4 linked regions of the Drosophila melanogaster genome follow. The protein of the gene in region 1 interacts with the protein of each later gene in a pairwise test. Each region holds a gene or a part of one and is shown on either strand. Other genes may lie near its edges.

Evidence for each region.
Region 2: the proteins of Golgin84 (region 1) and Pis interact in a two-hybrid assay, tested with the Drosophila melanogaster proteins (one large-scale study listed by BioGRID).
Region 3: the proteins of Golgin84 (region 1) and CG5026 interact in a two-hybrid assay, tested with the Drosophila melanogaster proteins (one large-scale study listed by BioGRID).
Region 4: the proteins of Golgin84 (region 1) and CG12985 interact in a two-hybrid assay, tested with the Drosophila melanogaster proteins (one large-scale study listed by BioGRID).

The regions. Positions count from the first base shown.
Region 1 is NT_033777.3:24,354,215-24,361,725, forward strand, and holds Golgin84 (Golgin-84), read right to left. Parts: upstream 3,725-7,511; 5' UTR 3,663-3,724; coding exon 2,327-3,662; intron 2,272-2,326; coding exon 2,057-2,271; 3' UTR 1,856-2,056; downstream 1-1,855. Other genes in the region: CG6454 (uncharacterized protein), read left to right, coding at 1-525, 579-666, 724-1,110, 1,167-1,439, 1,502-1,564; CG18528 (uncharacterized protein), read right to left, coding at 3,997-4,983, 5,040-5,345, 5,664-5,852; CG5762 (uncharacterized protein), read right to left, coding at 6,677-6,865, 6,924-7,337. UniProt on the Drosophila melanogaster protein: May be involved in maintaining Golgi structure and in intra-Golgi transport.
Region 2 is NC_004354.4:15,699,100-15,706,926, reverse strand, and holds Pis (phosphatidylinositol synthase), read left to right. Parts: upstream 1-3,156; 5' UTR 3,157-3,305; coding exon 3,306-3,357; intron 3,358-3,608; coding exon 3,609-3,743; intron 3,744-3,839; coding exon of another isoform or gene 3,840-3,898; exon of another isoform or gene 3,899-4,114; intron 4,115-4,264; coding exon 4,265-4,418; intron 4,419-4,511; coding exon 4,512-4,663; intron 4,664-4,741; coding exon 4,742-4,923; 3' UTR 4,924-5,476; downstream 5,477-7,827. Other genes in the region: Hap40 (Huntingtin-associated protein 40 kDa), read right to left, coding at 1,476-2,334, 2,521-2,699; CG9240 (uncharacterized protein), read left to right, coding at 5,840-5,938, 6,120-6,521; CG8128 (uncharacterized protein), read right to left, coding at 7,062-7,765. UniProt on the Drosophila melanogaster protein: Catalyzes the biosynthesis of phosphatidylinositol (PtdIns) as well as PtdIns:inositol exchange reaction. May thus act to reduce an excessive cellular PtdIns content.
Region 3 is NT_037436.4:8,964,775-8,973,639, forward strand, and holds CG5026 (uncharacterized protein), read left to right. Parts: upstream 1-3,753; 5' UTR 3,754-4,140; coding exon 4,141-4,299; intron 4,300-4,402; coding exon 4,403-4,653; intron 4,654-4,723; coding exon 4,724-5,111; intron 5,112-5,173; coding exon 5,174-5,649; intron 5,650-5,708; coding exon 5,709-6,121; intron 6,122-6,174; coding exon 6,175-6,272; intron 6,273-6,328; coding exon 6,329-6,406; 3' UTR 6,407-6,978; downstream 6,979-8,865. Other genes in the region: CG5653 (uncharacterized protein), read right to left, coding at 158-1,588; CG5021 (uncharacterized protein), read left to right, coding at 2,195-2,218, 2,354-2,436, 2,508-2,742, 2,792-3,121; pix (pixie), read right to left, coding at 7,559-7,853, 7,911-8,627, 8,687-8,865.
Region 4 is NC_004354.4:17,880,294-17,887,762, reverse strand, and holds CG12985 (uncharacterized protein), read right to left. Parts: upstream 4,046-7,469; 5' UTR 3,956-4,045; coding exon 3,288-3,955; intron 3,124-3,287; coding exon 2,679-3,123; 3' UTR 2,525-2,678; downstream 1-2,524.

The sequences.
Region 1 (7,511 bases):
TATGATAGCGCTGATAGCCACGGGAACGGCTCTATTTCTCACAGCTTTACCGGTGCCGCAGGTACCAAAGATCGTGGCAGGCAACTCGTGGACCGACAAGCAAAAGCTAAATGAGTTGCAGAAGAAATTACAAGAAACGTTTGAACGGAACCAGGAGATCTATCAGCTGAAAAGCTTGGACCCGGATTTGGCAGCCAATGTCGGAGGAGTACCTTCCACAGGAGCCTCTGGCGATAAACAATCAGATACAGACGACTCTGATGAAGAGGAGATGAACGAGATCGATCTGAACTGTGGCAACAAGGAGTTGTGTGTCCTGGAAGTGGACGATATCGAAGACTTGGAAATCATATCGCTGTTAATGGAGCCATATCCGCCGGAGGGCTTCCATGTGGTAAATACGCAGCAGGTGCCGGGCATGCTGGAAATGGATACGGTTAAGAATCTGCAGATGTTCACACAAGTGTGGCGCGCCCGACTCGAGGTGGGCCAAAGTGTAAACGGCTTCCCTAAACACTTTCAGAGGTAGGTCTAAACTTCATACTGGGATCAGCACATAAAAACATTTGCCTTCCCAGACTGTTGCAGACCATATACTTCAAGCTACGCACTATGATACCCTGTGCTATCTGCGATCTTCGCTTCCGACTAGATCTGCCAGAGACGGTAAGGAAAATGCTAGGACTTTGATCAAGAATGATTAAATTACTTCGTTCTCTGCAGGATCAAATTCAATTGCTAGTCACTGGCATGGCCATGGGCCTAAGCGATGCCAACAGAATGAAGTACCGCGGACGTGGACGCCCGGCTCAGCAGCAGCAGGCACCTCAACAGCAGAACGGATATCATGATGGCACGGTGCACGCCACTCAATCTCAGCCAGAGTTAAACGGAAAACGAATGCTGCAAGAGGAGGATTACATATTTCCGCTGGACGAGGATCAGATGGTGGACACACCCACGCCAACCAGCACCGCTATTCCGCCATTCGGAATGAGCTCATTCAAAATGCGAAAAACTTCACCATCACGTCTTAACAATCTCGTTTCGGGATTGCCTTCAACCGGAGTTAAGCCATTGAACGTTGGATCTGTTCAACGTAGCCGTTATGTAAGAACATTAAATATTAATGATGTCTTTATATTAATATTATATTTCCTTGACAGTTTCCGCTGCGAGATCGTTATGGAGTGGATGTGACGCCACTAAGTTTCATACCTGGTGGTCGTATAGATAAATATTTGGGCAACCTAAACTTTTTCTTTATTCGGGAGAGCACGTCGATCCGGGAAAATGGTGGCATCAGCGGATTTGTCCATGGCTTCATTACCGAACTGTTGGCTGTGGTGAGAGCACACATCGCTTCGCTGGGCGGAAATGCCATGGTCTCTTTTTACATCACCGAACTTATGTTGTTCGATAATCAGCACAAGAATCAGGTAAGGCAAACACAATGATCTACTTACCTTAAAGTTTTTATACTGAAATCTTGTATTCTTAGGGCCAGTGCCTGATTAGCATCGGAGGCGATGCTGTCTATGTGAGCTACCATGCCGATGACTGATATAAAAACTTGCGGGGCATATAGCGCATGTTTTACGCGAATCGTCCCAAAAGCGTATACTCTCTATTTTCTTCCGCTTAGCTAGAACTATCAGCTCTGCCCAGCAACTGGAGTTAAACTGAAGTTAAACTAATTCACGTTTACTTAACAATTTTACAGCATCTGTAGATGGATTCTTTATGCAATATTTGAACTGTGAGGAATCGTTCTAATCCTAACTTAGTAGTGCTAATTTTTTCGGTCTTGTTACTTGTTTGCTGGATGTTTTTAGCGTTAAATCAATTGCAATTTCTGTACATAGTTGATGTTTATTGAATATTGAATTTAGAACGAGTGCGAGACACAAGTATAATATCGATATATACAATTGTTGCAACCACAAACATGACACATATACTCGTACCACTAGATATCCAATTTTGGCGCGTAAAATACAATACATACAATATTATGGAAATACAACAATTGCTCAACTAAATGTATTTGATTCGATTAGTTTGGTGTAGTGGAGAGCAGCACAAACATGACCCACAGATGTAGTAGGGCCACGTAGACGATCACAGAGACCCGCATCATGGGATAGCGACGCAGAAACGTTCCCACCCGAATACCCATGGAGTCCGCCTGGCGAAGGGCTCGCTTGAAGCGTCGTGCCACACGATTATCGAATGGACTTGGATGCATGAGAAGCGGGAATTGTGCTTTGACTAGGTAGAACTCATATTTATGTAATTTCTGGTACTCGCAGAATGTTAGACTTACCATCATCTGTGCTGTTGAGCATAGTATGGCGGGAGCTGCCCCTTTGGCTCTCCATTTCCACCAAGTGCATGTTTTGCTGTAGCTGCGTCTGTGCCTTTTCGTGCTGTAGTCGCAGGGCATTTCTCTCACTCGTAACTCTTTCCAGAAGACTTTGACGTTCGACCAGTGATTGGGTTAAAGCCTTTAGCCGAGTCTCGTAATCGCTCTTGGCTCCCGTGTTGGCTTCCTCGCTCAATCGCTGACGCATCTGCTGAAGCTGCTGCTCCCGCTCCTGGAGTCGAGTGGCGGCAGCAGCCATTTGGTTACTAAGTTGCTGCCGCAGTGAGGCCAGTTCCTGCGTGAGCACTCGCTGATCGGATTCGGAGGTCACACTGTGTTCCCTTGCCTGTCGCAACTCCTTTGCTAGTGTTTCCTCGCGTTGGCGGGCAGAGCTTAGTTCCACCTGTCGTTGTCTTTCCTGGGAAACGTAATCGTCCAGCTGCAAGCGCGCCTTTTGCAGTTCCTCGTTGGCATGCTCTAGTTCTTGCTTAAGTGACTCGTGTTCAATTTGCAGAAAACGCGTTTCACTGTCCTTGGACACCAGGTTTGGATCTGCGCCCTCCTCCGTGGGCTTCGCCTTCAACTCTGCGATGAGGGAATCCTTTGCTTGCAGAGCTCGCTGAGCCTTGATACGGTATTCCTGAAGCTCCTGGCGCTGCTGCTCCGTTTCCTTTGTTTGCATTTGCAATTTGTGAGCGGCGCTTATGTATTCCTGCTGCAACTTGGCCAGATTGGTTTCCAGTTCGGAGATGGAGTGCACATACGCCATGTTAGCTGCCTGGGCCTCATTGTAGTCATGAACCGCCTTGTCCCGCTCTTCGGACAGACTTTTAACCAGAGCTTCCAGCACCTGGGTGTGTTGATGCAGATCAAACTTTTCGGTTTCGTTATTAAGATCTTCCAAGCGCAGACGCAGTTCATCTCTTTCGGCCGTGATTTCATTCAGGGCGATCTTGAAGGCAGCCAATTCATTTGTGTCCATTGAGTTGGCGGATATGTCGGGACTGTTGGAGAAACTGGCCGACGTGGTCATCTTTTGGCGCATGTCCTTAGTGACCACGGAGACCCCGCCATCGCTTTTTACACTTGATGAGCTATTGGCCCCCGAGCGCCGCACTGGCGACAGAGTGGACTTCAGGGATGTGGACAGTGATTGGGTGCTGCTCGTCATGCTCCTACGCATGGGATCCGCTGAACCTGTGGCGTTCTCTGTCTGCAGGGCCGTTGCCGCATTTTGGTCCAGCTTGTTCAAAATGTTTTCGGCCTTGTCCGCCAGTCCTGTGATCCAGGATGACATATTTTTCTAAGAAAAACAAATCTCTTCGAGTAAAACACGTAAACAATATCACACTGTGTGCCCATATCGCTATCGACTGCGGAATGGTCAACTCCAAAGTTAAGGTCACTCTAAAAGTAACGTAATTTTGAAAAACCTTTTTTCTGATCAAAAAAATATTTATATGAAAATGTAAGGATTGGTTTTAGAAATAAATGTAATTCCAATCTTTCTTATCCGTGCAGAAATGTTAATTTATTATGCTTATCAAAACTCTAGGGTACAAATGAATATTTTATTCAATACTCAACATGGGCAGTGTAATCTTCGCAACTCACAACTATAAACTATCTCTTCACTTTCCAATGCAAAAGTCCTTGAAGACCACGTCGAGTATATCTTCGCAGCTGATGTGTCCGGTGATGCGTTCGATGCAGCGCACGGAGTTGCGCAGCTTGGAGGCGGCTATGGCCATGTCCGGGTAAACGTCGGGTCTGTAATCTCGTAGAAAAATATCAATGTTCTCAATGCAGCGCTCCAGTTGCTGACGGTAGCGTGTGTTTGTGATGCGTGGATTCTCCGCCCGCGGTTCTCCGCACAGTTCTTGCAGCTGCTTCTCCAGTGATCCCAGAAACACGGGCATCTTATCGGGCTTATGGCATGATATGGCTAACACGTTGGACAGCTTGTCCAGCTGCTGATGCTCCTCATCCGTCAAAGTGTCGGTTTTATTGGCCACCAATTGCAGACGTTTCCCTGAGCACATGTCCAGAGGTATATCCAACTCGCCCAGATAGCTATCTACAAACGGAGCAACTGCGTCGTCGTGCGTCAGCTGTGCAATGTTCTTGGCTTCTGCTAGGAGCAATATCAAATCAGATTGGACTAGACAATTCTTGGCTCTCTGCATTCCCTCCTGCTCTATACTATCCGTAGTATATCGGCGTAATCCGGCTGTGTCGGAAAATACCACCGGGTATCCTCCGAAATTGTGCATTGTTTCTATAATATCCCTTGTGGTGCCCGCCTGATCCGTCACTATGGACACGGATCGCTGGCAGAGGAGATTGAGCAGACTACTCTTGCCAACATTGGGTGCTCCAATGATCACAGTGCGGACTCCGTCGCGGAGGAGCTCTCCCTGCCGCTGGTCACTCAAATGCTCGCGAATCTCACGCTTTACCGCCTTTAGTTCTTTGCCGAGTTGCAGGATGATGCCGCCTTCGATTTGCTCCTCTTCGGCGAAGTCTATGTAGGCCTCCAAATGGGCAGCACAGCGAATAAGTCGACGGCGCCAGTTGTCGTAGAGTCGAGCCAGTGCTCCAGTGCTTTGTAGCAGTGCCTGGAGAAAGAAGAGACTTGAAACAAAATTTATGAGACCCTAAGTCCACTGTCTACCTGCTTTCTTTGCGCCTCCGTTTCAGCATGGATAAGATCGGCCAATCCCTCCACCTCTGTCAAATCCAGTTTGCCACCAAAGAACGCTCTCTTTGTGAACTCTCCCGGCTCCGCCGGCCGCAATCCATCCACTTTTCCCAGAGCATCCAACATGGCCGCAATGACTGCCAGGGACCCGTGTACCTGAAACTCGCAGGAATCCTCGCCAGTGAAAGAAGCCGGTCCCGGAAACCAAAGTAAGAGCCCACGGTCAATCATCTCTTTGCTGGCGGGATGGTAGAAGGATTTCAGATACGCCTGACGAGCCTATATGGAAAAGTATTTATAAAGGGAACTATAAGTTTCACTATCATAGAGGTCTCTCGTCTTAAAACCTGGCAGCTTGCCAATTATAACAAATTAAGCAGTTCACGAAATTATTCAATTTATTTAGTCAATTATATGTAAGTTAGGAGAAATTTGTTTATTTTTATACAGGATACATCTCCCAAAATGTATATAAATAAGCAACAGGTCTTTTCATTTGCATACATATATTTTGGATACTAGAAAACAAAACTATACACTGCACAGGTCACGACCCCTCATATATGGAATAATAAACGTTTATATCGATTGACTTGCCTTTGGCTCGTATTCTTTGTTTGCAACAATTGCTCGGAGGGCCTTCTTTGTTTGCGGCCCGGAGACACGGATCACGGACACACCGCACTTGACATGACCGGAACTGAGGCTGTAGATGGTGCATCCGCTGCTGGCAAAGCGCCGGAAACTGCCCAAGAAGCTCTGGGACGCGTTTCTGAGAAGCGCCATCGCCGAAAAACAATTAAATCCCAACCGCCGAATAATAAACAATTGAACGTGATATTAAGTGTGACCGCGGAATGGCCGTTACAAAAATATATCATTCCACTCGGAGATATATACTAAAGAATTGTGCGTAAACAATTATGGAGCGGTGGTAAGCTTGGGTAAATCTCCAGTCCCGACACAAACCATTTTGACCGAAATATGGGATTTGAAACATGGGAACGTTTTTTATTTATTTCTTTGTTATTTGGATAGAAAGAATTCACTTTTATTCAATTAGACAGAAGTAGTTTTTGTAATTTTTTGTCAAATAATTATCAGATTTTTTGTCAAAAGCGTTGGAAAATATCGAATGACATATCTCGATGAACTTGTAATTAAGCCCTTAATTGGTTGGAGTTCAAATTTGGTAATTTTATTTTTTTGACGTTTTTTGAAAAAAATAGACGTTGTTACCCCTTATAAAAAATGTGAAAATAGAAAAAAAAAAATTTTTTTTTTTATTTCACCAAAAGTTGATAAAAATAATAAGCATTGGTAAAAAGCTGTAAGAAATAGTTCTTATTAAGTCTCTGAGACCAATTTTAGCCAAGCTGTGATGAACTTCTCAAATTCCCTCTCCGCTTTTGACGAAGACAAATACACTTAAATATTTTATTAGTAACAAATATCACATCTAGTGCAGATGTGTTACATTTTTACAGTTACATTTTCGGATTTGGACGCTTTAAAATCTGATGCCTTCGACACTATCAATTTGATCAGGCTACAAGAATGAGCGATTGCTAGAATTTCTGATGCGAATACAACTGTCAAATATAAACGGTTTAGAATAAGAACTGACGTTTTCGGGTGCTGTAGGCGTTTGACAACCGGAGAGATACAATGGGTGGTGGACAGCTATCGGTGGCACGAGCAAATTTGTTGCGTTGGATCATCGCCGCATTGGTGTCCCATTGGTTGATAAAGGCACGGGCCTCGTCGTCACATGGCTTTGCCGTACTCGGTCTTTCTTCCTGCAAAAAAGATTATTTCAAATTGATTTTTGTTTGAAATATTCCAAAAAATAGGCACCTGGGCTCGGCGGCGTCGAGGAGCCTCAGTTTCCATCGACTCCAGAAAGTCCCGTCTACGATTTCGTTTGGTCGCCACACTGTCCGGGAAATTAACCCAGGTGCACTCGTACTTGCGCTTCTCCAGTTCGCGCGGATGGTACTGCTCGTTATCGAAGCGTTCCTGATCGTCCCCGACCGAGATGCGTCCGTGGCCCTCGTCCTGCTCCCACATGGAGCGTCGCTTGTTCTTCTTGTACACATCCGCTTTCTCCCGCTCCCTGAGTATCTGATCGTCTGGCAGGTATTGGCTGCCCACTCTGGGCCGCTGGGAACGCCTGGCAATGTGACGCGTTGAGGCGCATTCGATCCGCGCACGGAGGAGCTCGATGCAACGGTTCACCATCATCCGAGTGCCACCGTGGATGTTAACCATTCTCGGAAGATATTTTTTTTTTTTTTACAGTTTTAGAAATTTTATTAAAAGAATTAGGGAATTGTGTAAGTTTTAGTATTGGAATGCCAAAATGTAGCCTGCTTCCAAAGAGGCGGCGTGTAACGAACTGAATCCGCTCCCAACAAATCGAGGTGACATGTAAGGTGCGTACGA
Region 2 (7,827 bases), on another chromosome or scaffold:
CCCATATCCAGTGGATAGATAGCTGCCAACGGCCACACACTCGCACACACACAGTCGCGCATCCAAAACACCCAAACACACAACCAAACGCATCCCTCAACCGAAAGGACATTCAGACCGCTATCCCTTCTCTTCAATAGGCGGCGGGCGACATCCGGCTATTGGGCTGCCCGTTCGCTGCAATCCATTCTGTGCGAAATTAGTTTTGCGTTTACTCTACGCTATAGTGAAGTCACAATTCGATCGGCCAACCAGTAAAATAATCAACAATAAAACTAGAACGAACCGAACACCCAATCCAAACCTATCCAATCACAACCATGCGTAACACAACCGTTGACAACTCAACAGGAACACACAAATTTTAGCTGAATTTTTTCTTTTTACGTGTCGAATTAAAGTTATAAAATTATAAATATATACAATTACGAAGTGGACAGGCAGAAAGAACTATAACTTATAAATACAACCAACCAACTATATACAAAACTGCTTGTGATCTTGCGCTTATATAATTTCGTTTAATTCTTCGCTAGGTTTCATGTAAACATATATATAAAAAATGAAAAGTGTACTTTATTTTTTTGTAATTTATTTAAGCCTTAACTATATATTTAAAAATTAAAAAATCTAAACTACAACAACAGACGTATGAATGATTAAGCGAATAGTAGTCGCAGCAAATTGTGTGAGAAACGATGTTAAACTGCCCTCCCAAATCGGAACCGTGATTTAGTTGCTCGCGGATTCGAACAAGACAATTAAATATTCTTCGATTCGATTTAAAACACAATGCAAAGTAAATGGAAATTGTAACAGGCTTAGGAAGGATTAATGGGTATTACATGAAACGTACATGCATACATATATGAAAATTTACAAATTACATAAACAAACAGATATTATAGGATATTTAACAAATTGGAATTGTAAACTCCAGCGAAAAACAAAAAAAAAAAAAGTTTTGTAAGCAAACACAAAGAAATCACGAAATTCGATTCGGAATATCAGTTGTGGCACCCGAAGAGTGTCGCATTAATTAGCTAACTTAATTGAGAAATTGCTAAGAAACAAAAAACAGAAGTTGCTTGACAAAGGTAAAATAAACAAATTAAATGACCAAAATATTGCATTACTATTAATAGGGGGCTTCATAGAACATCTGTTGGATTGATTAGAAACAAGTTGGTGGTTTGTTAGTCATCTTTATCTTCGCACTATCATGCGCATTCCTCTTCATTTATTGTACAAATCACAAATCCTATTACATTTCATTGCGCTTCGCACCTTCTGTTTATTGCTGCATTCACCTGGTCATTCGTTTGTTAATTTAATTCAATTTTTATGCGTGTAGGCACGTTCAAAGGTTAGTTGGTAGACTTGGTTACACTTAAGCGATAGTTGCATGTGTCATTCTCATTCAGTGGTAATGATCCAGTAGTAAATAATGTACAGTACGATCTTAGGTCTAAAATCTAGTAGCTTCGGGCCAGTTCTGCATGCATCACCGCCAGCAGCTGCCTTTCCATGTCGCTCAGCGATCCAAATTCGGCTCCAAAGTCGCGCAGCAGGTGCTTTAGATCGCACATTTTACGCTCCACCCAGGCGCACGTAATCTCCGCCAGCGCATACTGCTGCTGTTCGGGCACAAATGCTCCCGGACGCTCCGCGGATCCACCGTCGTCCGCCGAACAGGGGAGCGACTCGAACTGCGCCAGGTTGTAGTAGTACTCGATCAGCTTGATGTGGGCGGGTGACTGGCGTGCGGGAGGCAGGTTCAAATGGACTAGGAGCAGCAGACGCAGCACCTCAACGCGCCGCAATAGTTCACCGTACATGCGAGCACCGCGTCGCTCGTAAACATTGTCCACAATGTCGTCGTAATGCTGCAGTGCACTGCGAAAATCGCCGCGCTGGCCACTCGTTTCGGCGCTGATTTCCAGGTCATGGATCTGATGGGTGGGCGAGGCAAAGCTGCTGGTGCTGTCCAGCTGCCGCTGCAGCTGCTTCAACTCGCGCAGAATGGCCGCCTTGAAGACGCAACCGTCCACCGCTCGATCCGCCGCACGGTGATAGCAGTGCACCGCTCCCTCCCGAAATCCCGAGTGGCGGGTGCGCAGATGCAGTCGCCCGGACTCGTTGTGCGCCGCTAGGAAGGATCTAGCTGCCCGCAGATAGGCCTCCGATTCGCGCTGCGGTGCGCCGCCGTAGGACTCGCACTTGGCATAGCCAATGTGGCACATGGCCGCATACTGCTGTATGCCCGACTCCTCGAAGCTGTAGGCCAGTCGCTGGAAGTCCGCCTGCACATCGACCACGCTGGGCGCAAAGCGTCTGGGAATTAGAGAAACAGTGGAGTATTGAGATTGTATTCCGTGATTCGAGGGCTTCTAATACACCCGTATTTCTAAACATAGTTTGAAGATGGAGGAAAAGCGATAAATTGGGCAATGACTTGCTAATCAAACGCAATGATCTGCAAGGTATCTGATTGCCCATACTTGGGCCGTAGCTACTCACTTGAAGAAGCCGGCCCGCTCGAACTTCTTGATCTTGCTGGAGGCCCTTAGATATTGCTCGATCAGGTTTTTGGGGTACTGATACTGCTCCAGTTGGTGGTGCTCATGGCCCGGAGCCGTCGATGGCGCGCCGCTGGAGGATCCGCCGCCGCCCAGACTGCCGCCGCGGAGTTTATCCATGCTACAGCATGTGGTTCTCCGCGCAGGTTACTTCGGGTCGCGCTACTTGTGCATTATATTTTCGCCTGTATTGTGTTTTTATTATTATTTGTGAAAACTTTATCGCGGGCGGTGTGACCATGCCATGTCCCGCTGAGGAATATACTAGCTTAGAAGCGGTATGCAAAGATCCATTTACACTGCTCAACGGCAGCGAAAATGTATCAAAACGGCACGCAAATCGCTGTCAAAACTCATTTAACAAGCAACTACACTAGTTGCCCGGTTTTGGTAGCTCATGTTAATAATCTAGTGACCTTTAATTTGTATTTGATACATTTAAAATGATATACTAATTACTAAATTTCTATTGGAAGAGAAAAATAGAAACTAGAAACAGATGTGTGTCAGTGGAAACCATCTGAAATCTTGTTGGCCAGTATAGTTCGGTATTTTCTCTCAAGTCTTTGTTTGTTTTTTCCAAAGGTCACGCTGCGGTCACACCAGATACAGCAAATTCTGTTTCCACTGTTTTTTCTGCAGCACTTTTGGCATTTAATTGGATAAAAACAAGCCGCAAAGCTAGAAGATCGCAAAATAAACGAAAAACCAAAGTGGCGAAACAAAATGACAATTGCCGAGCACGATAACGTCTTCATCTTTGTGCCAAATCTGATCGGTGAGTGGCTGTTTGTAGGTTTTATTCCGTGCTCCAGCTAGGTAAACAAATCGCATGTTCGATTTATGCGGCGCAATAATAGCGATTCTAGTGTTCCCTAATTGGATTAATAGGGGCTGTTTGGCAGCTAGTGCAATGCGAAGCGCAAGTTCAGCGATAAGAGCCGCTTCGTCCAACCCAATTGAGTCACCTCCAATGATTCTATACGTATGATGCACGCATATGTGCTGATTTATATTGATCTTTTCCAGGCTACGCCCGCATCGTTCTGGCCCTGATCGCCTTCTGGTTCATGTCCACCAACTATGTGATCTCCGGCTGGTGTTATGTAACCTCCGCCCTCCTGGACGCCGTCGATGGACAAGCAGCCCGAGCCTTTAACCAAAGTAAGCATTAACCATGCGATCGCCCTTGATATCGAAATGCCAGCTCATGCCAGCTATATGTCTGTATTTGATTTGTGCGCGCACTTTGGCCGCTAGCGCATTGCAAACACCTGTCTCCTCCGTACTGGTTATCTGCCGATATTGTGGAATTGTAGGCACGCCCTAAAGAGCCCGATATGGTCACGGCTATCCAGCCAATCGATGGATGACGTGGGGCTGAAGAATAGATAGAAAGCATGGCTAATATTGCCTTGGAACTATGCAATGTAGTTAGCAATATAGGAGGAAAAACATTAGGATAGAAGCCTTCTAAGAAACAAATTGCAGATACCATGCAATGTTTATGATATAGTAGTGTAGCAAACTGAAAGGTATGATCTTGCACTTGGATTTGTTGTATGCTAGCAGGATGATTTAGAGTCTTAACGAAAGGGTACTCCAACCAAAATATGTATATCAAAATATTAGTAATTATCATATGGTACTATGGAATCTTTACTAAATACTCGATTACCTCACAGGCACTCGCTTTGGCGCCATGCTAGACCAGTTGACCGATCGCTGCGGCACCACCGGCCTACTGGTCACCCTGGCCTACTTCTATCCCCGGTACATGTTCTGGTTCCAGCTGTCCATCGCCATCGACGTGGCCTGTCACTGGCTCTTCATGCAGACGTAAGTGGGGCAGGGGAAAGAGCAAGATGCTGGACGTCTGGACTGTCAAGGAATGGAAGGAAACTAATGACTCGTGGCTTTGTCTTTTTGCAGGAGCGTTGTGGTCGGACGCAGCTCGCACAAGGTGAATGACAACTTCATAATGCGATTGTATTACCAGAAGGACATACTCACATTCATGTGCTGCGTCAATGAGCTGTTTTACGTGTGCTTGTACCTCTTGCATTTCACCTACGGCCCGCTGAGTGAGTATACGCACACGCACATGCTTTGCATTTCAGCTGGCGAAACGTATCTAATCCGTTGATGGACTTCAATTGCAGTATTCGGCGCATCGCTCTTCAAGATACTCGCCTTCCTCACGGGTCCCTTTGCCGTGCTCAAGGCCCTGATCTCGGTGATGCACGCCTACGTGGCGGGCATCGATCTGGCGGCCGTGGATGTACGCGAGCGGCAGGAGCGGCGCCAGAAGTCGGAGCCGGTGAGCGGCAAGAAAGTGGAGTGAAAATGGGATGCGATCCGGGATCAATCTTCCAGCGACAGTTCTATCAACAGAAAGTACTAAATGAAACAACTCTTGATTCCAAGCTAAAAAAACAGAATTTTGAAGACGAATTGCGATCAGATGAAATATGGGCATTAGGCAACCAAATAGGCCGTAGTAGGAATTTAATTTATTTTTAATGCGCTATTGCAATGATTGTTGATTTTATTTGATATATTTTAGTTAGACGGGTGGTGAAATCACCCGACAATTTGTATTTAATAGATTTTTGAATTGAAATTTAAGCGATTCGTTCCAGTCAGTAGCTGTTGCATATTTATTTTGCCTTTAGTTAGCGTAGTTTACACGCTATATATGTATATATATGCCAATGCGTAAATGCAGGCCGATATACTATGAATGAGTGTCTATTTCCAGGATTTATCTCACTGTGCACGTTTTGGGTTTGACTAACCACCTTGTCCCAGCAACTCTCTCAATGTAACTAATGTATTTCTAATCGTAAGTTAAAGAATGTAATTGGAGACCTGCATGAAATATATACGACAAATGGATGTTAGATGTATTTGAAACATTAACATATATGTACCATACATGCCAGGCCTGGCAGACTTAGTCAAAATTGAAAAGTGAAAATAAATATATGTGGTTCTATGCGCTAAATTTTAGTTTAACCTTTTGGGCCATCGATTTTTGAAATTTGCGCCACACAAAATTTATCGTTAGACATCAAAATTATCGTTGGCACATCCCTGGCTGGCCGCTCAGCTGCGCCGCCTGTGCAGCCCTGATTTTTACACAACATAAACATTCGATTTTGGAGGAGCTCTTTTTTCGAGAGAATACCAGGTCGTTGGACACGGGAGATGCTCTGATTAGGGGCGCATGTGGAGCAGCCAACGCCGGAATCGCCGACATGAAAATCCTCTCCCGTCTGGGTCGCCTGATGCGCTACACGGTGGCCTACGCGGCAATCACACACTGCACCTTCGAGTACATTGGCGATTTCGTCCTGGTAAGGCGTCTAGGATGAAGTTCCTGGGCGGGTATACTTGCCCAACATGTGCCAGCATCACATAGTTCGTGTGAATGCATTAAGGTACTCTCCACTTGTTTTTCCACCTTGTGTAACTTCCACTTGATATCCTTCTTTTGCGGAAAAGTACGTACACTCACATTAATGCAACCATTTCCAGTGCAAAGGACCCTCCATGGAGCCCACCCTGCACTCGGACAACGTTCTTCTCACCGAGCGCTTGTCGAAACACTGGCGAACCTACCAGCCCGGCGACATAGTCATCGCCATATCGCCCATCAAAGCCGATCAGTTCATTTGCAAGCGTATCGTGGCCGTTTCCGGTGATCAGGTGCTAATCCAGAAGCCCATTCCCATTGAGGCGGAGTTTAGTGGTAATTCGGATGACAAGAAGAAGCCCGTGATGGTCAAGGACTATGTGCCGCGCGGACACGTTTGGATTGAGGGTGACAACAAGGGAAACAGCTCGGATTCCCGCTACTACGGACCCATTCCGGTGGGCCTCATCCGGAGCCGCGTGCTCTGCCGCATCTGGCCGATATCCGAGGCCACGGGTCTATAGATGGCATTCGTACAACAAAGAGTTTAAAATCAACTTGACCCAATAAATGGCCTATGTTTCGTTTGGAAATTATAGTACATCAAACCACAACTTTTTAGAATCATTACGTATGCGAGTTTCGTCTCATTTGTGCGACTTCTGGTTTTTGCATATCATTGAAAATAAGTTGAAAAAAACAGGAGAGAATAATAATTTCTTTTCATTTTTGTTTTTAATAAACATATTTTTCAAAGTATGAAGCTTACATCCTTAATCCTTATTGGCTTACCTTCTAAGGAAGTATTTACCATGTTTGGGCGTCATATTCAAAATAATGCCATATTTTAAATTATTGGCGTTTCTAAAAATGGTATCAAAAGAAAAGCTTTTGTAAAAGGCTGTGTGAGCTTTAATTGATATATGCATATAATTATATACAAAAAAATTCATTTATTGACTACATTGTGAACATTTGAATGCGCAGTTGTGATGCTGCTGGCTTTTGGAAGAAAGGACTTTATAAAAATTGCACTAAGGATTTGGCCATTGCACCGACAAGTCTCACGAATTCTTTTTATCCTGCTGCTCCTGTGGCTGCTCCCGATCCACGTAATACAGATTGTATTTCTTCTTTAGCACCTGATGCACTTCGTCGCGACAGGTGAGGGTCAGGCCGCGCTTCTGGTAGTCCAAAAAGGTGCAGACGAACTGCCTGTTCGTCTCGTGGACCTGCGGATGCTTCAGATACTCCGCGATGGGCATCCACTGGATGCGCGCTATCTCGCGTTCGCAGCGCGTAAAGTCCAAATTCAGTGGCTTTAGGGCGATGACCACGTACATGTCGGAGCAGCCGAAGGTGCCGCCATGGGCATGCCGCAGACTGACCACTGAGCGGAATTCGGTGCGGATTCCCGTCTCCTCGGCCACCTCTCGTATTGCCGCATCGATGAGATTCTCCCGCGGCTCCACATAGCCGCCGGGCAGCTTCCAGCTGTTTGGTATCATTGCAAAACGATCGGACACCACCAGCACCTCGTCCTGTTCGTTGATAACCAGTCCGCCGACGCCCATTAGCGTGTGGGCGTAGGTGGGTAGGTTGCTAGACTCGTGCTCCGGCAACCAGCGGTACATGACCACCACACCGGTCTTGGCATGATGGAAATCAAAGCCGTTCTCCGCCAGAATGGGCACCCAATCAGCCTGCTCCTTGTACACGCGGAACCAAATGGCCCGGTTCTTGTTCGTCGTCCAAAAGTCCAGGGATTCTAAAAGGTATTTCGTTATTAATATAATTTGGTAATTGGTGACACAGATTTAATTAAAATTA
Region 3 (8,865 bases), on another chromosome or scaffold:
ACTTCATTATTTATTTGATTTGTCAAAAGAGAAACATAAAACATCTCAGAGGGTACGTATGTGAATATCAGGATCCAATGTAATTTTTTTTAATTTATAAAAGAGAACAATTTTATTAAGAAACCATAAAGAAAAGTACGATAAAAAAATATATTTTTCAGGCACTGACACTGCATGAGGTGTAATGATCAATGAGCCGGTCTGCCTCCCGATAGCCCGCCTCCACAGCTCCGTGAACGGTGGAAAAGTGATTCCTGCTAGACGCTTCTCCGGCAAAAAGGAGGCCTAAATGACCATCTTCGCCCAACACAGGAGACTCTAGATCCCAGGGGCCCGTATTCCTTTCATCGGCCATAACTCCACGATAACTCCAACTGCCACGGAAATTCGGATTCGAAAACCACGAGCTGCGAACGAAACGCTTTGGCGGCGGAATTTCGAAAGTGAGGAACTTTCGGAAAAGCCAGTACAAGCCCTCAAGGACTTTCTCATCGGACAGGGTCTCCATGTGGCGTCCATGCGGACCATTCACCCAGGCCATCAACATTCGGGGCTGACAAGTGATCATGTGTACACCGGTTATACCCTCCACCCAGAAATATTCCGTCTTTCGCAGCTCTATCAGATCCTCTTCCAGCCAAAAGCAGAAGAAACCCACCCAGCCGTCAGGAAGAGGTTGCTTCTCATACTCCAAATACAGTTTGTTCACAGTGCCCAGGGTGAGGCTGCGAATGGCATTCACCTTGGCTGCGGGCAGCGGCGGGACGAACAGTTTCTCGTGCTGCTCCTGCAGGACTCCCAGGGAAACGGTGCAGATGACGTGGTCCGCCTCGAAGTAATCCCCATCCTGGCAGCGCAGGATTACCTTACGGGGGCACGCCAACTCAATCTTGATGACCTTCATATCAAGTTGAATACGTCCTTCCAGTAGACCCAGCTCTTCTGGCGTATCCGCGCTGACCTTCATCAGCAGCCGCAGGAAGCGCCGGTAACCCTTCGTTCCCCAGTGGAGCAGCTTGTCGCCATCACATTCGTGGTACTCGATGTGTTCCCTAACGGAGACCTCGAAAAGATTGTCCGCACCAATAATAGAGCTTTCATGCTTCGCAAATGTATTCAAGGCCTCACTAGCCACATCCCTATTCACTTGGGGTAGCTCGGACTCGATCTTGCGCCAGAAGGTCTGAGTCAGGTGGGTGCCAAAGGATCCCACAACCGGGTGAGGTCCACTCGGCATGCTCTTCACAGCAATGTCGTGAATCCTGCAGGCCAACTCATGTGGAACCACCTCCTTGTTGGATCTCACCCTCTTTATGGGACTGTAATAGTCGCCTGTCTCGTGCAGGATACCCATATCCTTGACCATGTCGTATACACAATTTTGCTGCTTTCCATGACACCACTGGGCTCCCAAATCGATGACGTTGTCACCAAAATACACGGTGTTGATCCGCCCGCCAATGCGATCCTCCGCCTCCAGGATCTGAACATTCTGGAAATTGTTTTGCAGGAGTCGAGTGGCGGCGGCTATGCCCGAAACTCCTGCTCCGATTATGATTATCCTAGAGGAGGCACGGCATTTTTCCATTTTGAAACGTTGGTAGTTAAGTTCGACAGAAAGAGCAGACGATCAACGAGCTACTGATGAAGTTTGTGGGCTAACTTGGCAAGTGATGGATGCTGCATTTCAATGGCTTCCACTGCGGTTGGAGTACAACTTTTTGCACACTCTGCTGGTTTTCAGCCACAACCATGTAACATTGAGAATCCGGGTCACAGAACATAAAAGTCGTCTTAGATAATATTGCTTCGGCTTTTATTACTTAATATGATGCGTAAAAAATTATGTTTCATAAATAACTTAAAAGTGGCATTTTTTTCTCATTTGGCGCTGCTATTGCAAATAACAATTCCACAAACAAAATGAAGGGGAGCTCAATAAAAAATGTTTGCAAAATTTTCAAATACGATAGGTTTAAGCTCGATTACTTATGGTGCTGCCAACCCAATCGAAGTCGAAGAAGTGCTTCACCCCTGCGAGCTATCGACTCAGTGCGAAAACGATAGAAGGCTACGCAGGCAGAAACAACAACAACGTCCCAGGCGAAGAAAATATATTAAATCCCCTGAAAAACCACGAAAATCCATGAAAATTGCACCCAACTAGGAATTAGAAGTCACTCCCTACACCAGCATGGCATCCGCTACGGTAAGAAATGTATGTATGCCGCACTAACACCTAACAAGCTGCTTGATTGGGGTGCCATTCTGACAATACGATCCGAGGTTTTCCACGAAAACTCATATTTTACAACGAGGCAAGCCAAACTAATCCCACATACGTGTTACACAGGTGCCGCTGCTCGACGATGACACGATACCCTTTGGCGAGGAGGACGAGATGCGGGATCCCAGTCGCGCGGGTCAGAAATACACGTATGCAGAACCATAATGTTTGTTGATCAATTCCATTTACCCCAACCCAACCCAACGCGTGTACTCCACAGGCACCCGTACGTCACCTTCTTCCACCTGTTCTTCAGGGGCGCCGCCATCCTGATCTATATGTTCTGCGGTTGGTTCAGCGACTCCTTCATCACCAGCTTCGTTTTCGTGGTGCTCTTCCTGTCCGCCGACTTCTGGACGGTGAAGAACATCTCGGGCAGATTGCTGGTCGGTCTCCGCTGGTGGAACTACGTCGACGACGATGGCGTATCGCACTGGGTGTTTGAGTCAAAGAACGTGAGTCACGAGCATAGCTAACTAGATTGCCCTTGATAATGAAACGCAGTCTGAATCCTACCAGAGTCGGGTCAACAAGAACGAGCAGCGCATCTTCTGGCTGGGACTCATCCTCTGTCCCGTCTTCTGGGGCCTCTTCTTCCTGTTCGCCCTATTCGGCCTGAAGTTCAAATGGCTACTGCTGGTAATGATCGCCATTGCGCTGAATGCCGCCAATCTGTATGGCTACGTCAAGTGTAACTATGGTGCCAATAAGGATCTGAATTCCGCCGCCACAGACTTTGTGAAAACGCAGTTCTTCAAGAATGCCGTGGACATCATGACAAGGCCCAGTGGCGCCCCACCGCCAACAAATGTACGCCCGACGGGAGTCGTTTGAGCTGGTGGAGACGCCATCTACTAAGTCACCTTGCCACCGTCTGCTGCAGCGCATTCCAAAGAGTATTCGACGCTTCTTCTGGCGCGGACCACGACCTTCGATTGGCATCGCTGTCTGTGTACCATATGTAAAACTTAATTTAGCCATACTGCAATCTACCATAATCATTTCTTACTTTTACTCGGATTAAAGGACCGCATGTGCGTGTGACATGCAACCAGTATGCCACATGGTTTTATTTCGAATGGTTTAACTACAAATTTAAGAATAGTTATTAAAAGGGATTCAGATATAGCGAAATGTGTTTTATTTTTATTCTCTGCATCTTAATCTGAGTACGAAAGACGTGAAGCAAATAATTTTCATTACTGTTAGATTACTATAAATTATTTAGTTTATTTTCTTTTTTGTCATTTTAGTTTCATATATGAAACTGTCGTAAACATATATTTAAAAATGAAGCGTAAATATAATCATTCCTGCAAAACTAAACTAAATGAAATTGCAAAACAATTTAAAAATATTTTTACATATTAAAAAACCTGATAATTTTTTAGTTCTTTGTTAGTGGCAATAACGGTTCATAGGCAAAACGCAGTGTGGTAGTGGACGCCACAACAAAGCTTTCCGGCTCAGTGAGCGACGGGCACACTGGCACAAAGCACAAAACAGAACAGTCGGTCGGAAACGGAATCGAAAAGAAAGAAAGAAATGCAATCTGTGCCGTAAGCGGGGGCGTGGAACAAAAGTTTTTGCAGCCCGGAACGAGTTTCATTGTTAGCTGCAGAGCAGCAGTGCCGTAAGTCCGCCAAATCCCCGCCAGAACCGGTGACGTACGCACTGCTGTGGGTTCAAAAAAGGGGACTCGAAAGGCGGGATAACCGTGGCGAAGAAGGGCGGAGGTGGAAGGCGGCGTCGACAGAAGCAATCAAGTGGCAACAGGAGATAGCCGGGGCAAAATGCAAAAAGTTAATTAGTGGGGGCCAAATCAAATCGGACACCCCGCCGAGGGCGACACCATGGAATTCGCCGACCTTATAAAGACCCCCAAGCTGGACGGTGTCCTGCTGCACGACCCATCGAATGCGGGGGCGTCGGGTGCAACAGTTGGCACACTGTGCATCACAGGGCACCATTTGCTGCTCAGCGCCCGCCAGGAAACCAGCCAGGAGCTATGGGTAAGTGGGTTGAGGCCTGCCCACCTAATCCGATGTGCTTCGGCATCAGTGGAGCGCTCATAATTGAATTAGAAATTCATCATGCTCATCCCCCTCTTTTCAGTTGCTCCACAAGAACATCGACTGTGTGGAGAAGAAGCCTAGTTTGTCGCAGAATATCGTGGTCGGTGGGATTATCACCCTGAAGTGCAAGGACCTGCGCATCATTTCGTTGGAGATAAAGTGCGGCAAGGAGTTCTTCAACGTGGCCGCATCGCTGGAGGCACTCAGTGCCATCCAGAACACCGAACTGCTCTATCCATTCTTCTACCGGCCCATGTACTCGATCCTAGAGGACGGCTACACGATGTTTAGGTGGGTACACGGCTTCTCCATAACTAACAAATTGGCTACAATTCAATTAACCTCCCCATCCAAACGACAGGCCCGAGCTGGAGTTCGCCAAACTCATAAGCGGGGTTGGCATGGGCGGTGCGTCCTCGCCGAATGTGGCCAACATAACAATTTGCATGCCATCAACTTCGACATCGACGTTGACTGTGGGCGCCGGCATTCCCCATCCTCTGCAAAATGGCTATGCGATAGAAGCCCTTGCGTGTGGTGTTGGTGGTGTGGGAGGTGGTGCGCTTCAAAGTCCCCAGGCCTCCTGCGAGTGGCGCATCACCAACGTCAACAGAGACTTCAGCGTCTGTGCCACATATGGCGCCACGCTAATTGTACCTAAAGCAATTACGGACGAGCAGATAGTGCTCTCCGCTGCGTTCCGCGATGGCGGCCGCTTCCCCGTGCTCAGCTACAGGCATGAAAATGGCGTAAGTCATTGCATCTACATCATCAAATTTTATTAAATTAATTCAATGATTCATATTTGCAGGCCACACTAATGCGCAGCTCCCAGCCGCTGTCCATTCAGGGCATCAAGCGCTGTAGAGCTGACGAGGCTATCCTTAATCTGGTGCTGGGTCGCAGTCGGAAGGGGTTCATCGTGGACACTTGGGGTAAGGGCAAATCGAATACGGAAACTGACCTGCACTACTCGCAGTGGAAGAAGGTAAATCGTTCAATTGGAAACGTCAGTTCGCCCGCCTCTATTTTGGACAGCTTTGCTCGGCTTATCGAAGCTTGCAACGATTTGGGATGCAGTACTGATAAATGGCTATCGCGACTGGAGAACAGCGGCTGGCTTAGTCTTGTGCTGAACTCACTGAACGCCTCCTGTGTGGTGGCCCAATGCCTGGACCAAGAGGGAAGTCCAGTGTTAGTGCACGGTGCTAAGGGGTTGGACTCCACGCTTATAGTCACCTCACTGGTGCAGATCATTCTCAATCCGGACTGCCGGACTGTAAGGGGGTAAGTAATCATATTCTCCTTACCTTGAAAAAGATATTTATGCCGTGTTCCCTTTGCAGCCTGCAGGCTTTGATAGAGCGCGAGTGGATCCAGGCGGGACATCCGTTCGCCTCGCGTCATCGCTACTCATGCTATACACCAAATCAGACACGCAATAAGACCTCTGGTGCCACCTTCGTCCTATTTCTGGATTGCATTTATCAGCTTTACACGCAGTTCCCCTGCAGCTTTGAATTCAGCACTCAACTGCTGATCCTTCTATTTGAGCACAGTCACTTTTCGCAGTATGGAACTTTCCTGTGCGATTCAGAGCGGGAGAGAAACGAACTGAATGTGCACACCAGGACGACGAGCCTGTGGTCTTATTTGAACCGGCCTGATGTCCTTCAGACATTCTTGAATCCGCTGTACGAGCCTAATGCCAATGTGATATGGCCATCGGTGGCGCCCATAAGCTTAGAGCTGTGGAGTGGTATGTTTAAGAACTTAATATATGAAACATTACTCATCAAACATGCATTTTAGATCTCTATTTGCGGTGGGTGATAGATCAACGCAGCTCAGTCACAGTCATGTCGCAAATTCAGGAACTTGTCACCCGCGAGAAGGAACTCAGGACTCAGGTAAGTCCACTTGAGTATTGATAGCGAAATGCTTACTGATGACATGTATCTTTCAGGCCCTCAAGTTGCGCAAACAAGCCATGGAGCTCGGCCAGGAAGTGTCCAACCTCATGAAAAGTGGAAACGATACATAGTCGGCTACCTCAAATGTTCTCTATCTTTTAATCTCCTGCATGATATACACTTATTTTTGATACGTTCTGTTGCAAGATTTCGACAATTATTTAAGCACATAGCAAAACTAATGTTAAGTCACTAAAAGTTCCATTTACAAGAAATTATGCTGAAGGAAAAAGAAAATAAACAAGGTAATTAAATTATTGGATAAACCATAGGATCTGCTTTTGGATCAACTGAAACACTCAATTTTAGACATACATGTGTCCATTTTTACTAACTATACTTCTATTGCATAAGTTCGGCAAAACAGTAAGAAAACTCTCCTTGTAAAACGCTCTCTACTCTCAGACTCAGATTGGGATTCGAAACAGCACAATGCAACTATCAAATATTTGGGTCAATTTTTGACGCATTTACTTTTATGGAATTTTTAGCGTATAAGTCTCCAAAATTACCTATTTATAGTACTTACTTGTGTCAGTTATTTAGTGGTCAACAAGCCACAGATCAAATTAAGTATTATAAACTCAAAAGATTTGCCTTTTTCGAAAAATTGTATGTAAATTTGATTAAATCGCATAAATTTAAAGCTTCAAAAGCGTTTACATTAAAAATATGCTGTGCATGCGTTGGTATATCTAAAAACAAATATTGTAAATTATATACTTATAAATGTTTGTAGCTGTTATTCATTGTGCGTCGATTTCGTATTGTGATCAAATTTGAAATGACAGAAATTTGTATGTAATTTACATTTGTATTGTGCGTATTTTGAGTAATTATCGCTTAAGTGCAATAAATACGTGTTAATTTGCAAACGTTAGCTCTTTTAAACTCGCAGGATTCTATGAGCACCACTTTAGAAAAAAGAACTTTCAAATGCAGTTTTGTATAAAGAAAATTGGTTTATTTTTGCTAGACTCATTTAAAACAACATTCTGTTGTTTCGGTTCACTATTTATTTCGCTGTAAAAACGTATATAAAACTCACTTTAATCAAGTACAATTAATCCCCAATTTTCGATTGTACGCAATCCTCGACAACAATAACAAATTAATTTGAAAGCAAATGTGTTCTTCAACGAAAGAATGCAAAATGAACGAAGGAAAGCTGAGGAGAACATAGAGAAACGAGCTGTCCCATCGAAGTTGCCCGTGATCCTGTCTTAGTTGCAGGCTTCGTCCTCCAAGAAGAAGAACTGGCCGGAGCGTTTCTGTTCTGTGTCCTTGACCGAATTGTTTTTGTTAATGCGGGGTCTGAAGTTGTTGGGATCGCGACGGAACGTAATACCAAGCAGTTCGAGGAAGCGGTTCATGCCATTTAGCAGCGACTGCGGCGAAAAGGCTGTCGTCTTCACTGAAGGCTGACCCTCGATCACGATGACACGGTCGGCGAGGTAGGTGGCCATGATGAAATCGTGCTCCACCACAAATCCAGTTTTCTTGGCGTGCAGAATGTAACTAAAACGAGATACCATCAATATTTGTGTGCAGATTTAAAGTCTATGTAAAACATACCGTTTGATAACCTTGGCGGCCACCAGACGCTGCTCTGAATCCAAGTAGGCAGAGGGTTCGTCGATGAGGTAGACATCCGCTGGCTTGCCAAGACACAGGACCAAGGCGACTCGCTGCAACTCACCACCGGAAAGGTTCTGCACCTCCTGGTCCATGATTTCCTCAATTTTCATGGGTTTCATAACATCGGCAATAAACTGAGGATGCACGTAGGCGTCACGAATCTTATCGTGCAATAAATGGCGAACATGATTTTGGAATTTCGGGGAAATCTTCTGGGGCTTGTAGGAAATATTCAGCATAGGCAGTTCCACCTCGCCATCGGGTTGGAGGTTACCGGCCAGCATGCGAATGAACGTCGTCTTTCCTGTACCGTTCTCGCCCAGGAGCACCAGGATCTCGGAGTCGCTGAAGTGACCCTTTTCCACCGTCAACTCGAACTTGCCCAGGGTCTTGACCATGGCGGGATATACGTAGTGGTTCATGCGCTTGATCTCCTCCTCCGTAGCGGACTCAGATACTTTGAAAGTAAGTGACTCAGTGCGGAATCGCATGTTTTCGGTGGGCACAAAGCCATCGAGGAAAATGTTGATGCCTTCGCGCACAGAGAAAGGCATAGTAACCACACCGTAGCAGCCGGGAACTCCGTAAAGGCAGCATATAAAGTCAGACAAGTAATCCAGCACAGACAAATCGTGCTCCACCACAATAATAAACCTGCATATTACAGAACCACGTCATAATTTTAAACAATGGCACATTATTCATCAACTTACTTGGTGGGATGCAGGAGTGATCGAATGGTCAAGGCAGCGTTCAGACGCTGCTTAACATCCAAATACGAGGACGGCTCGTCGAACATGAAGATGTCTGCATTCTGTATGCATACCATGGCGATGGCAAAGCGTTGCAGTTCTCCGCCAGAAAGCTGAGCGATCTCACGATCACGGATGTG
Region 4 (7,469 bases), on another chromosome or scaffold:
GATTTGAATTAAAAAAAAAAAAAAAGTCCATTAAAAAATACAACTCAAGCTGTCGTGAACTAGTGGTCCCAATGCGATGCATTGGTTATGCATAGAGCGGAAATTAATTTAAAGTAAAGACATAAAGTCGGCTTAAAGAAATATTTTTGAACAAAAAATCCACCTTGATTGGTTCGAGAGCTCGCTTAGGCAGGAGGCTGTACTGGCTAAGTTTATTTTGTGCAACAACCACTTGGCAGTGGTATCGATTAATTCGGATGCACATTTATCGAGCCGCTATTAGCACTGGCTTGCAGGGGTCTAAAACGAATAGTTCTTTTCGATAGGCAAGATATTTAAAAATTATAAATCAATTCATATACTTTTCAAGAAAATGCTATCTATTGCGCATCAAGCAATGCGAATTGCTCTCTCATACGCATAAAATGGTCAATTAGGTGAAATAAACCGATTCCCCAAAACATCGAATCGTAAACCATCGGCTACTATTGCAACCGATGCCCCGATTGTGGCTGTCTACCACCACCGTTCCGCCCGATACACCGATACATCGATATCATCGCGAGTGGCTAACCCAGCTCTGAAAGGGAAGCAAGACACCTAAAAGCAGCAACAAAATGCGCAGCGCGGAAACACAGGCGGCGTGTTAAATAAAATAATAATATATAGTCGGTGCAGCTGGCCGTGTGTGGCCGCTGGAAAAACGGGAAAAGCGTTTACACAGTGCTTTTTATTTAGCATTTTCTCCGTTTCGCCCGTGTCTGTGTATGCGTGTGTTGCGTGCGTGAGTGTGCGTGTTTTTTTTTCCTCATTTGGTGTGTGCTTTTTTTTTGTACATTGCGGAGACGCGCTCTTTTTTGTGGCAGACGGGCGGAAAAGATGAAAAACCGCAGAGAGAGCGTCGAAAATTGATGGGAAAATGTATAAAGTTTGTTAATTGATCGTTTTCGAAATGAAAGCATAGAAAAAGGAGCAGCAACGGCGGCAGCAGCAACAACAACAACAACGAGTAACGAAAAACGGCAAAATTTTTTTGTTTGCCTCGTATCGCATTTTCTCACTCTCTCTCTCTCCCGCTGCGTGTGTGTGTGAGTGTGTGTGTGCGCGTCACATATCGACGTCCCTCTCTTGCCACCGACAACAACAACAAATACAAAACGAAGGAAGGAAAGAAAAAGGGGAATAACGTGAAACATGTTTTTCTGTGGCAACAGCAACAACATAAGCGGCAGCTGCAACTATCGGCAGCAACAACAACAGCAGTATCATAAAACATGTGTGGAATAATCGCAGCGAATTGAACAAAGCCCAAAGCCTGGAAATAAAGTAACCAAAAAAGAGAAACGTCGAAAATCAAATGTAAGTAAGCCTTTTTATGCTTCTGTTTTTGCTGTTTGGTTAGGTTGAAAAAAGAGAGAGCAGAAAGAGAGTCGAAACTCAAGCGTTCAGCAATATACAGCGTGCTGTTAGGCGTTAACAGCGTTGCTGTTATGCGCCCAGCAGGCAAACCAATTGGACTTGCCGGCATTTTAAAGTCCAATTGGCTTGTGGCCATTAGTTTATTAAATCGATGTTTTTTCAGTTAAATGCGGTTTTATGGTATTTATTAAACATATTGCAATTTAAATTTGTCAGCTGGCCATTTGGTTCATTATATTAGACTGCAGTCTTTGTAAATGCTCATCTTGTTATGCGGAAAATGCAGCGTTAGAAGAGATTTCTTACATTTTTTTTGTATCTTTTTCAAAAGGACATTTAATTAGTTGGATTATACAAAAATTTGAATATCAATCTAAACATTTAGTTGACTAGATATTTTCGATTTATTTTATGGGTTCGGTTGCTTCGGTAATTGCTTAATTAAATATACTTGATGTGTTAATTAAGGACTTAAAAGTTATAATTCAATTTATACGTATTCCCTGAATTTGCTCTCTTTTATCGCTCGTTGCGCGCGCCCTCTCGCTCTCCTTCTCACTCTCTTCCGTTTCGAGTTCCATGAAGCGACGCCAAAATAGCAATAAAAACAACGACGCAACAGAGCCGCAAAAGGTGGCAACCCTGCTTGCGTTGCACTTTTTACACCCAACCGCCCACAATTTTTCCAAAAAACAAATACATAAGGGAAAAGGAGGAAAAATCCAAACAGCTGGCAGCCTCGCATTGGCAGCTGTGATTTTCATTCGTTCTTCCGCTGGACAAGATGGCTTTTCCACACTATCTCCTTCTCTATTCCCCCTCCCACTCTCCTTCTCCTCTTTGCGATCGTGTTTCGTTGCGTCTTGGCCTTGCACTCATTTCCCATTGTTATTGTTTATTTCGCAAGAATTACGACACTGTCAGGCGAATTTGTTGGTAAACAATTGTGTATTGAAGCAGCTACGGTGGTCACTCGATACGGGGAAGATCTTTAATATGTACATAACTGACAATACATTAATGATTTGTAATGATATGTGCAAGCTATTTAGTACGATCTTAAAAGTAGGAAATAAATTAACAAGAAAACAAGGATTATACAACTCGCATTTAGGTAATACTTCATATTTACGCTCAAAAAGTGAAACTGAAATTGTTGAAAAATCTCGAAACTCTTATCCAAATAGAGTTAAAATAATTTGCAGCGTTTAGAAAAACAGAATTGTGGACGTAGCATCCGTTAGTAGGGAGCGCATTTGTTAGTACGAGTGATCCCCGTACAGTGAATTCCCTTGATAGCGATCCAGTCCGTTCAGGATTTTCTCCCGCCGCATTCGCTGTTGCTGCCGTCGGCGCTGCCTGTAGAGATCCAGGAGAGCATTGCAGGTGTTCCTGTCGAGTGCGTAACCGCGCGCTCCATTGGCCCTTATGGCGACAGTGGGTAGGCGGTGAACCGACGACTTGTACAGCAAACTGCCGGTGCCGACCTTTTGCTTGGCCTCCACGGCGGCGGATGCGGCGCGACAGGCCGCCTCCTTCACCTGCTCGTACTCCGACTTAGCTTGCGCCACCTGGCGGGCCAGGCGGTCACCACGTGCCTTCGCCGCCGCCAGCATTTGGTTCTTCTCCTCGATATCCATGTTCGACTGGTCGATTAGGCTGTCCATTTCCGACAAAATGCCACTCGTCTGCTGTACGAGGGCCCTGAAAACATTAGTAATCGAAAAAGCATTGATATTAAAAATCGATATGTTATCGCTGGTAGATATTATGATAGATATAACGATATAATTGTTCCGCTTTTAAATTGTGTAGATAGTTGGATGGATTGTGAACAATATTGAATATTGAATATTTATCAATTATACCTGAATGTTTCGGCTTGAACCTCCGCTGCTTTGACCACGGCACAGGAGGCCTCCACGTTCGTCTCACTGTTCTGCAGCGAGCAGCTCACCTGTCCGACCACCTCCTCGGCATCCCGGATCTCCCTAGCGTAGTTGTCCACCATTGCCTGTTTGCCCTCGAGCACCGCATCGGCGGCACGGGCAGCGGAGATGGCCTTTTCCGCCAGCTGCATCTTCGCCTGCCGCGATGCATCTTGAGCGGCGGCCGCCTGTGCATCATTGGCTGCCTTGGCCACCTGGGCGGCATTCTGGGCAATGTGGGTGGCCTTCAGCCGCGAATTGATAATCTCGTCACAGGAGTCACAGTTGTCCCTATCTCTAATATTATTCCTGTCTTTGTCCCGATCCCTGTTTCTATCGCAACCCCTATTTCGATCCCAATCTCGGCCTCGATCCCGATCAATATTGCGATCTTTTTCTCGGTCCCTAGCGCTTTCGTCCATGCTTTCACATCCAGATTGGTAGGACGGTCTTGTGGTGCATCCCAGATAAGGGAATGGCACCACTGTGGCCCCCGAACTACCATTCCCATCGCCGTTGAAGCCCTGGGGAGATATGTCATCGTTGGTGTTGTCCAAATAGCTAGCCAGGGAGGCGTCGTGTTCGTTGTGGGGCTGGTCGAAGCTCATCGCACGGACACTCACAATGCGGAGGATGATAAGGAGCAGGGTATATGGTGGAAATATATACATTTTGAATCCGGAATTTGAGGAAAGCGACTCAGGCTGCTGCTTTCAAAACTACTAGATATTCCATAGAATATATACATATTTCAGGGTATTTTGCGATTCTTTACAGTTGGCTGGCTTTCTAGTACTTTCGCATAGTATCAGTTTAATTGATGATGGGAACCCCTTAACTTACCGTCTAAAAGAGCTAGAACGTATTTGTGAAACGGAAAAGCAATTGTTTGCCCTTTAACGATTTTTTAATTGAGCTGAGTGGTTGCCCATACTTTTCCACCAGCGCTTTTCCAGCTTTCCCATTTCCCATTGTCCTGCAGGATAAATGGCTGCCATAGCGATGGGTAATCAGCACCTCAGTTGGCAGCTTTCGCACCTTGCTCACCTTTCGCACCTTCTTTCTCCCTTTGCCCAATGCAGTGTAAATGCGTATCAAGAATACTTCATTAGTGCCCAATTGCGGCGCAATTGCGACGCTGACGCAGCCAACTGGCTGGCTAACTAAGTATCTAACTAGCTAGCGGCTAGCTGACTAACTAGCTAGCTGGTTAGCTGACTAGCAAGCACGTGTGGCGAGCGGAGAAAGGGTAGAAAGCGGCATAGGTGTGGGTGGGCTGGGAAAAGTCGCACTTTATCACAACAAACCAGATGCTAAGCACGTGCTGCCATTTGTTTTGGTTATTATTATTGTGATTCCAGTCTCTAATCAGTGCGGCCAAATAAATAAGTGTGCGGAAAACAGAAACCATGAATGCAGTTAACTGGCGGTGGGGAAAACGCCACCTGGCGGAAGTAATATCAACAATTGCAACGATCTGTAGATACAGATTCATAGATACATAGATAGCGCTATAATAGATATTTGCGTATTTTTCATTTACACTGAATATACTAACATTTATTCCGTGAGAGAATTCAAATTCTTCGTTGAAATTACGCATAAAAGTCAGGGAAAACATGCTATCCGCATAATTGATTTAAGATTCAAGATGAGTTATTTGAAAGATGAAATTCCATAGATGCAGAGGAAAAAAACGTTTTTCGGGCAACACATTATTAAGTGAAATTCATGCCGGCCATTCAGTTCCTTTGTTATATATATATATATATATATATATGTACATACATGGTATATAGTATCGTTATTGTAGTCTTCTTGTTCTTGTTCTTCCTGCATTCATTATCATTGTTGTTGTTGCTGCCGACTGGTCACCAGTTTACTGCAGTCTGCTTGCGAAACTGAAATTTTCAATGCCACTGTCAAAGCTGCGACGTCATCCGTCATCAATGAATGCGCAGTTTTCAATTACCATACAAAATACAAAACAGTCAGTACAGTGGCGGAAATAGGGAATGATACGGCCATGTTCTCTATAAGAAAGTTGCAAAATGGCAGAACGTTCAATTCAATTGACAGCAAGTGTGCAAGGGAAATCATACACTTGTTTTCCAATGTGATCTTATGAGTATCGCAAACTATGAAAATATGGTATCGTTCGCTCGAATAGATTTAGAGACTTTATAATACAAACCAAATGCTCATTTTATGTTCTTTTTGATTTATAGAGAAGTAAATTTAATCATTGCCAACATCATTTATGTTTTATTACCACATTTTATCATAATATTGTGCATTTGATAAGTTTTTATTTAACGCGATCTTGAGAGATCACAAAAACAACTTCATGAAAGGTTCTTTTTTAATTGCCGCTTGTTGTCTTTTGTATTTTCGCTTGCCACTTGTTAGTGTTTATATTTTTTATTTGCACATTTTTGCGCTATTGCGTATTGAGCAAAAATCAACTTTATTAACTGACCTTGTGTGTGGCCATGTGCCCCAGTGTGTGTGTGTGTGTGTGTGCGTGTTTGTGTGTTTGTGGGAGCGAGATGGCAGCAAAGCTCTGCGACTGCGCCGCTCACTTCACTTCGGTTCATTTCAGTTCATTTCGCTTCAGTTTCGGCAAAGGCAAAATCGGTCATTGAACTTTGAACCACCTCAAGCTAAACAAAAAAAAAAAGAAAAGTACAGAAAAATAAATAAGACAGCAACGAAAGAAAAATAAAACAGCAGCAAAAATAAATATAATAAACATAGCCGGTCAGCGGCGGCATTTACATTCTTCGCTCTTCTCTCCGCTCTTCTTCGCTTTCGATTCTTCTCTATCGCGCCTCGACTTGATCTACAACGCACTTGCTGCGGGGCGTGCGAGCGGGACGGGAATAGGGCTGCGGGGAGTGCAGAGAAAGAAAGCATAAATTCTTCGCCTTTCTTTGCACAATCGCACAATCTTCCATTGAAAAAGTGCTTTCAAAAGCGCAAAAACCGTTTTGATGTCGCTGATGTCCAATTGTTGTTGCTGCCACAGTGGTACCTCGCTATGCAAAACAAAATGAAAAATGCGTCCTAGAATTTGCAACTTCCTTGCATGATTTGCACTTCAAATTTGGAAGATAGCTAATATCCACGAAATTGAACTTCAAATTTGAGACAAAACCAAGTTATTTGATTTCGATTCAAGTTATGGAAGACGTGCCGTACTATTTCCTTGCCAAATTCCCTTAACTCTTCTCGTTCTTGGCTAATCAGCGATACTAATGAATACAGAAGAAGCGGAAAACGCCTACAAGGTATTTTTAGTAGACACCTAGAAAATCTGGAGCACGCACATAGCCAAATAAGTTTGTGTATGTAGGCAAATGTGTGAGTACGCCACCGTATTAATAACAAAACGTTTTCTTTCCTCTTTTTTTTTCTCGGGCGTCGCCACATGTTGCACTTTTAATAAAATCGAGTTCACAAAAAAAAAAAAGAAAAGGAATGCAGAAATAGAAAAAGACGCTGTTGCAAAAATATGATTTATTTCAATTATTAGTTTAGTAGCAGCATTTAATGTGCACGCAAATTGAATTAAACAAAACGAGTGCAAATGGAAAAAGTCACACGAACGATTTGGGTCACCACATGACGTGCTGTGCTCCCCTCTCTTCTTCTCATTCTGCGGTGGGTGGCTGTAGTGGGTGGGCGGTGGAGAAAGGCGAAAGCGAGACGAAAGAGAGCGCGAGCGGCAGGGCAACACACACACACATACACATGTGTACTACCACCACACGTACATTGGCGCAGTCCGACAGACAGACAGCCAAGCCAAGCGATTCTGACGTCAAACGGCCGCCGCCGATCATAAAGTTGTATTTTTTATGCCCCCGCTACAGTGGCTACTCGCTTAGTTGGCCTGCTAATATAGGGATTTGCGGTAAAACCCAGACCTCAGCTTATTGATGTTTTATTATTTAAAAGTGAAATTGAGCATATTTAGTTTGGCATATCTCTTAGATAAAATCGCTGATAGCAATCAATGTCACTATTCGCGAATGATTACTGTAATGTTAGGAATCTTAATGTGGCATTTTTAGTACTTTTCCCAGAAGTTGGGGGAGTAGACTTGTGATCCGATTGCGA